Linked DNA regions of Oryzias latipes. The protein of the gene in region 1 interacts with the protein of each later gene in a pairwise test. Links are inferred from orthologs where the notes say so. Each region holds a gene or a part of one and is shown on either strand. Other genes may lie near its edges.

Region 1 (3,653 bases):
TTTCCAAGACCTTCATACTTTTCATCCTAATTCCATTACAAAGCAGCGTTCAATAAGACACAGAAATAGATTGCAGTCTGTATTCCCAAGGTGGCCTATAACAACATGCATTCATCATTGCTCTCACATTAATGTGTAACACATTTGACTACATTCCAGACTCTAAATGACATGCACATGTGCGGTAGAAATATCTTAATGGAGTCACTCGAAATTCAGTCAACTTTGATTTCTGATCAAAAAGTCTGGACTTGAATAGATTCATCGGTAAACAAATCCTTTGGCCATATAATGTACATTGATATGGTTTTTGTGGCAGTTTAAAAGTTCATGGTGTATCCCACTTGGGTTTGGTTTTAGTAAATCTTACCCGGTAACACATGTGGGATTAAAGTTCTTTCTGAAGTGCATGTCTAATGGTTGGGTAGCGATGCATATTTCTGGCTCTTTTACTCTTCAACACTGGGTAGCGGGAGGCTGTATGTTTTTGATTCAAAACTAAATCTGTCTTTCACACTAACTTCATAGCAGTGGATCAGCTGTGCTGAGGTTGAAAGAAGAGTTCAAGCATAGTATGTCCTTCCACCATTTGTTCACATTTAACTGGAGATGCTGTAACAGGATACAAACTCATAATTCTGAATGTCTTTTTCAAAGGACTTTTGTTAAAGTCCACCCACATATTAAAAAAAAAAAACACAGTGAGACATTTTAGAAATTAGCGAAAAAATCAAATGAATTGATATCTGAAAAACAAATAAGCCTTTTTTTCTTGGTAGTTTGTGTTTGTGGTTGCAGGCACGTGTAGAGACTGCAGTAGAAACAGGGTTACTTTTGTAGGATCTAATTGCCTCGCCCAAAAAAAAAAAAAGGAAAGAAAAAGGGATTGAAGGTGCACCTGCTTTGCTTGCCTCTGCAGGACCCATCATGTGCAAACAAATGCTGCTATATAATTTGATTCCAGAAGCTTCAGATCCCTCAGCTCTCCTTTTGTTTCAGTTTTCTAGCCTCAGGTTGGAAATGCTGTGCTTTGCCATAGCTTACATAGAAATGAGCTGTCAAGCAGTTCAGGTTAAAAGGGTGATGCAGGACAGTCAGGCCTGTGCTAACTTGCCGGCAGGTGTGAAAGGTGAAGATGATTCATTTTTACTGTTAGGTGAATTGTATTATTTTTGTTATTATTAAGAATAATTATTTTTTAACATTTGGGCAATTTGATTGTTTTCATACATAGCCTTTCCCAGAGTCTCCTTAGCAATAATATAACTAAACTGAATTACATTTATTTAATCAATTTATTTTCATAGCACAATGCTATTCTATTTATAAAATTCTCAGATGAGCTTAAAAAAAAGGTAATTTTATGAAAATGCAACAGAAAAATGCTGTTGCTGTAAATTTCTTTAAAGTCAACGTTAAGAATTGAAATGATTTTCGTAATGAATGCCATAACATTCCTTAGTTGAAACGACTAGATCTGTGAAAACTCTTTCAAAATCAAAATTCCAAATAAATCAGAGATTCAATGAATTAAATCAAATCAAATCAAATGATGACCCTTTAAACCTCTAATGAAAGTAGAAATCATTAGAGAAATGATAGAATAACAATAGTTTTCAAACATATCATCAGAAATGGAAAGGTTTTGATCGGGGGAGCAGGAACATGAATTCTTGCAATAAAATCCAGGCTTTGTCAAACTGCTGTCTGACTCCTTTTGTGTTTCCAAGCTGGAAACTGGAAAACATTCAGCACTAAGACCTACATGTGCAGCTATCGTTTCTGCAAAACTAAATCTCTGATGATGCCGAGAGGATTACTGCGGCTGCAGTTTCTGCTAGAAAGGGTCGCCAGCAGTGAAACAAATGCCGGTGCGCTCTCCAGACACAGCTTTAGCAATTAATCTTAAGCAGTCTTTCCTCCAACGTCCCATCCAGAACTTCCTCAAATCTCCACAGCCAGGTGTTTCCAGACAACAGAACAATCCACATAAGTCAAATCTTTATTTTTTCTTTGTTGCGCTTCCCTCATGTATTTATAGTTAATTTTATATTTTTTCTGCCTATTATATTTAAACTGTATCTGTAATTCTATCATGTCTCCATTTCTCTACAGGCCACTTATTCCATAAATTTGGCATCTCTGAATCGGACTGGTACCGGATCAAGCAGAGCATTGATTCAAAATGTCGCACTGCTTGGAGACGTAAGCAGCGTGGTCAGAGTTTGGCGGTCAAGAGCTTCTCCAAACGCACGCCTCGTAATTCGGCTGCAGGTAAAAGAGATTATTAGGAAACTTTAGCATGAATATCCTAGAAAACGGTCTTTGACAGTTTGTTAGACCAACTAAAGTGTGTAAAGGGGAATTTAATTTGACTTTTTTTTTAAATCTTAAGGTTTTACGTACAGCTAAATAACATCATTTTTAGTATGGATATTAAAAAAAAAAATACCACCCGACATGTTACTTGGTCTAAAATCATCTTACAAAAACATTATAAAATGTAGTTTTTTTTTGTCATCCAACGACACACCACTAGGTTCAGCATCACCGTAGATCCTGTCGAAACCTCCTTTTCCTTTTGCAGCTAAGAAAAGCCACCTTTTCCCTACAAAAAGAAGTCATTTCTTTCCAGACCGCCCAAGTTGGGAACCTTTTTTCTTCTTACAACCAGTTCTTTTAGGCAGGAAGTGAGCTTTTGTCTTACCTCATCTGCTATATGAAAGCAATTTCTGAATCCTAACCTAAGTGCAGTCTGTTACAGCCTGGATGAGTGCAGATGTTTGTAATCTACACACAATGCTCTCTGTCCTTCCCTCCCAGTGAGGTGTCACCTTTCACCTCTGATCACGGAAATGAAGAAACTCGCAAATCCTGTGAACACACACACACACACAATGGGGTGCATTTGTCAGGTCTTTTCATTCCACAAATGTTAGTTCACATGGTGCATCTATCAACGTGTCAATCACACACGTGCATTCTGTATTCAGTGAAGTAGAATGTTAATATCGCATTAAGAGGCACTCCTTATGCTTTCCAAACCCCTATTTATTAGCAAACTGTCAGGTTGAGTCTACATGAACCACCTGGCACATCCTTCATTATCTGGTAAATGAAAGTCCTAATAGTTATTTACATAATATGGTACACAGCTGTAACAATGAAAGATGAGAGAAAGTCTTACTTTGAAAATCAACATCTGATGAATGTTCTTTATTACTCGGAAACAAAGTCTGCATTCTGCTGTCTCGCTCAAAGTTGTCTGTTTACTTCTTTTTGGGATTTGAAACAAATCTGTCCAAAAAGCCTTCCTAAGGTTTTTTGTTTTTTTTGGGTATTGAAATCCTAAAAGCAAACATTTGAAATTGTGCTTATGTGTTTGAGGATAATATCTTCTTTGTGGGTTTTCAGGCATGGGGTGATGAGAGGCCTCTGCAAACTTGGTTAGTGGGTTGGCGCACAAAGCGCAGAAATTTAGCTGAGCTGCTTCACGTTAGGTGTGATGGCACGAATGTTTTCATTTTCTTTGTGCACATTTTCCCCCCTTTTATTTAATTTTTTTTTTTTTTACAAAGACTACAGTTCCCAATTTAATGTAACAATTAAATGCAACAATGACTGTTTTGTTTTTGTGCAGATGAAAGCCTCTC
Region 2 (4,120 bases), on another chromosome or scaffold:
TCAATAGGGGTAAAAATAAAAGCAAGAATGGTCGATCTGATATTGTCTCGATGTACGTCACGTTTCCCAGCATGCTTAGCGGCCAATCATTGGTCTTGACAAACAGAAATGTGAAGGTATCTGCTGTAAATCTATGACGTAAATTAATAACAGGATAAATGATCGGCTAGTTAGTTAGCATGTAGCCTAATAGCCTTCGAATGTAAAGCGACTGACTGCTAAAGTTAATCAAATACAAGTCCTGAATATTATTATTCCTATTCGACCCTAAACTACAATATCAGCTGTCTGTCTGTCAACCGACCAGCCAGTTGCCCAAATGCCGGCATACGTCAAAGAGCTCTGCGGCGGCGCTAGTAGTAGCCTAGCAGGAGCTATCGTATGACAAAGCAGCCTAGTTATCATAAATCTTTTGATATTTTTCTTATATTCATTGAGACAGTAATAAAGTGATCATTTTTGTTTTTCATGTTCCTTTTTTGAACGAATGTGGGTCACAGAGACACGGAAGTTCCCGCTGAAAGTGGCTTTTGCCGGCGTACAGATAGCATATCCGCGTGAATGACTTATGACGTGAATAATTATTGCGTTCGAACGGATTAATTATTGCGTTCGAACGAAATAATTATTGCGTTCGCACGAGTTAATCATTTATTGCGTTCGAACGAAATAATTATTGCATTCGCACGAGTTTATCATTTTGAGGGAACGGAATAGTATCTTGTGGGAACGGAATAGGATTTCGTGCGAACGAGATAATAATCTGTGGGAACAAGATATTAATCCGTGGGAACAAGATACATTTTAATATCTTAATGTCAGGATACGGGCTCCATAGAATTGAGATGAGTGAGAAGATCCTTTTTTTATTCCAACATACACATCTCAACGAAGGTCACCCAAATCTAAACTTGGTTAACGCTACAGAAAGTAAATGAAATTAAACTCAAAAGAAAACAACTTAAGAATGTCAAATAAATAAACAAATCCCATAAAGAAAATATTAATACACCGTACATTGCCTTAGAACAGACTAAAAACGGTAAAAAATCAATTGAAGTTGAATTTCACTTGAACGCAGAACATATAAACGTGGTGATCTTTACTCAATTTATTCTCAACTATGTTTCTGTTTTTCTTCACGTTTCCTTTATTTTACCGTTTCTCTCTGCTACCTTCCGGCACTCTTCGTCCTCCTCTTCCTCGGTGGGCGGGGCTCTGATCCAGGCTCGGCCCACAGGGGGCGTGGTTCAGCGCTGTGACGGGGTTCGGAGCTCCGTCTGCGGGCTCGCCTGTCAGCGGCTCCGGCTGCCTCCGCCTCGGTGCTCCCCTCAGCATGGATGTGGGCTCGGTGCTCCGCGGCCTCCTGCTGCTCCTCTCCGCCTCCTGGCTGCACGCGGCGTCCCGCAGAGGACCGAGGGTCACGGAGAAGGTGGGTGACGTGACGGCAGGAGCACCGCATCGTTTCATGCACGCGCCTCTCCGTCGGTGATGCAGCAGCTGCGGGCTTCTTGACGCGCGTGCAATGCTCTATCGTGGTTGCGTGAGTGCGCGTGACTGTGCAGACGCTTGTGTCTGCCCGCGTGTGCGCAGATTTGTTCCAGAATGTGAGCATGTAGGACAGCCCACACGAGCACGCTCACGCGCGTAAACACACAGCTGTACACGTGGCCTTTAGAAAGGATATTCACGCGGGCCGTGCACGCGCGCTTGCTGCCTCAGTTTGACCTCAATTTATTTCAAGTTTTTTTTTTTTTCTTTTAAATGTTCAGTCAGATCAACTCAACAATAGAAACCAACAGAAAACAGATTTTATTCAGGAAAACTGCTCATTTTTCATGCCTGTTTGGTCAATATAATACTCCAACTGGATCAATCTACAGACAATAACACTCACTTCAGAAGATCTCAGTTGGTCCAGACTTTCATAGAACAAAGCTTGTCCATGCTGGCAGGAAAACATCTCATGGTTGGTTATTCCACTAAAGGCCACTACGTACATTTTGCGCATATTGCACAGATTAAAAATGGTCAAATGTGAATATAGGTGGAGAAAGTGAGTAAAGTTGAGGTGAAATCTTAAGAGATGTACACGAATAAACCACGTTAAAACCACTGACGAAGTACGAATAAACCATGCAAAGAACATGTACGCACATTTATGATGAAAGCAAGAAACGCTAATGAATTACGCACATTTTTGCCTGTACTGTTTGTAAATAGTTTTTAAATTATACCACCTTATTTTTCTACAATTATTTTGTTTTTATATTATTCTATTTTCTTTTATGATTACAATTCTGCTTCTGTAACGCACAAATATCAGACGTGTGGAATCAATAAAGTACTTCTGATTCTGATTCTGATATCCCGCATGTATCATGAAAGACCGAACTGTTACAGAACTGTCCATTGTGGCTGTGGGACGGCCTTTAGCAGCTGTTACTTGGATCTGGTGACTGAGGTCCTAAAAGGACCATGAACTCCTTGTAAGGAGACCAGCTGTCAGATGGAACCTCCTCCTGCTCGAAGGAGCCATCAGAAGACAGTGGTCAGGAGGGGACAGATATGGTCAGCAACAACCCTGACCTGTTTCCACATTGCTGCCTCCAAAACTCTGAACCACAAACCTGACTTGCCTCAGGTTCTTTGGTTTCATAGCCTCAGACATGGCTTCTGATTGTCACCTCTTTCCTACCTCAAATGAACCAGCGTTTACCTGGTTTAACCCTTTCATTCTGGAAGTGTTGCCGATGACATCTGAATAACTCTCACTCTTTGACAGATGGTAACTCTGACGCCATCAACATGAATCAGCGGATTCAGAAGCGAAGGAAAACAGTTTTGCATAACGGCAGATTCTGCGCTTCATTGTGGAAACGATTAATATTACTGCACTCGAAAAAATGTTAAACTGGAAATCAAGCTTCCAAAACATCCGTCCGGTCAGGGAATTCCATTAAGAGACCAAATTTGAAAGAGTCAGTCCAAAAAAAAAAAAAAGAGTGAGGCCCTAGTCTGAACACTTAAACCAGCAATTTAGTAAAGACCAGTTGGGAGCAAACTAAGTACCAAACTAGAACCAGGAAACCAAATATCTTCCAGGAGTAGCCCCACCTTTGTTAAAAAGAAAAAAGTTCAAACAGCCCAGGGTGTTGACATCGGGAGTTGTTGGAGACTGACTATTATCAGCTTAGCAGACAAAATGGTGATGGGAAATTGGGTTCATTTATTAGTAAAAGACAGTATGGTCCCATAGACAACAACCCCTGATGAAAATGTCAGGATTTGATATTATAAGTACAGCAGTACAGTATAATTAAAGCAGAATACGGTATTACTGTAAGCATGAAAAACAGGTACATTGATTGTCTACTGAACTTTCTTTCCAGCAATGCCTCGAGCAGTGGCCGGCAGCAGTCTGAATTTAGCACAACAACATCATCAGACCAACAAGTCCCCTGCAGAACATAGGAAAATACAACTAGCTCCAAACTCAGGCAATCACACATACATCTTGGGATTGCATAAGGTACAATACAGTACAGAACCGTATATCCTCCAGTAGTAGCCCAGGTGTTTATTTAAAACATTCCGGCATTTAAATATGGTCTATGGAGCCTGGTGTTTATTTGTCACGAACGCCTATTCAAACATGATGTTTATTGGAAATACAGTATTCATTGAAGAAGCGGTGGAATAGAGACTGTGGCCTTAAGATGAAAATCACGTGGCAAGAAGAGTGTGCAAGAGCCTATCCCCACGCCATCCCCCTCCCCCCTGAACCACTGAAGACGACCTTCGGTCATGCTGATAGATTCAAATCTGTCCAAATGTAAAAGAAGAAATGAGTTTATTATGACAGAGAAACCCTTTTCAGTTCCATGTTCAGTGTCCATAAGTCTGAGTTTTGGATTGCAGATCTTTGCTTACCTTCACCTGCAGGAACTTCTCTGACTGTCTATCCGCTTACGAGGGTTTCTGCTGTCTGTAATCCAAGTATAAGCAAGTATTAATCCTGCTTTCCCCTCATAATATTCTGGTATGTGCAACCTTCTTACCTGTGATGGATTTTGGGGATGTTTTGTACAAGAACGTCTCTATAACAATTAGGGATGGG

The links.
Region 2: the proteins of banp (region 1) and ppic interact in binary tests that used the Homo sapiens proteins (3 or more experiments, as listed by UniProt). The two-hybrid records come from large-scale screens. The link is inferred for Oryzias latipes from reciprocal best matches to the Homo sapiens genes BANP and PPIC.

Annotation. Positions count from the first base shown.
Region 1 is NC_019864.2:22,003,273-22,006,925, reverse strand, and holds part of banp (protein BANP), read left to right. Parts: intron 1-2,115; coding exon 2,116-2,274; intron 2,275-3,640; coding exon 3,641-3,653. UniProt on the Homo sapiens protein: Controls V(D)J recombination during T-cell development by repressing T-cell receptor (TCR) beta enhancer function. Binds to scaffold/matrix attachment region beta (S/MARbeta), an ATC-rich DNA sequence located upstream of the TCR beta enhancer.
Region 2 is NC_019867.2:29,491,231-29,495,350, forward strand, and holds the start of ppic (peptidyl-prolyl cis-trans isomerase C), read left to right. Parts: upstream 1-1,222; 5' UTR 1,223-1,336; coding exon 1,337-1,432; intron 1,433-4,120. UniProt on the Homo sapiens protein: PPIase that catalyzes the cis-trans isomerization of proline imidic peptide bonds in oligopeptides and may therefore assist protein folding.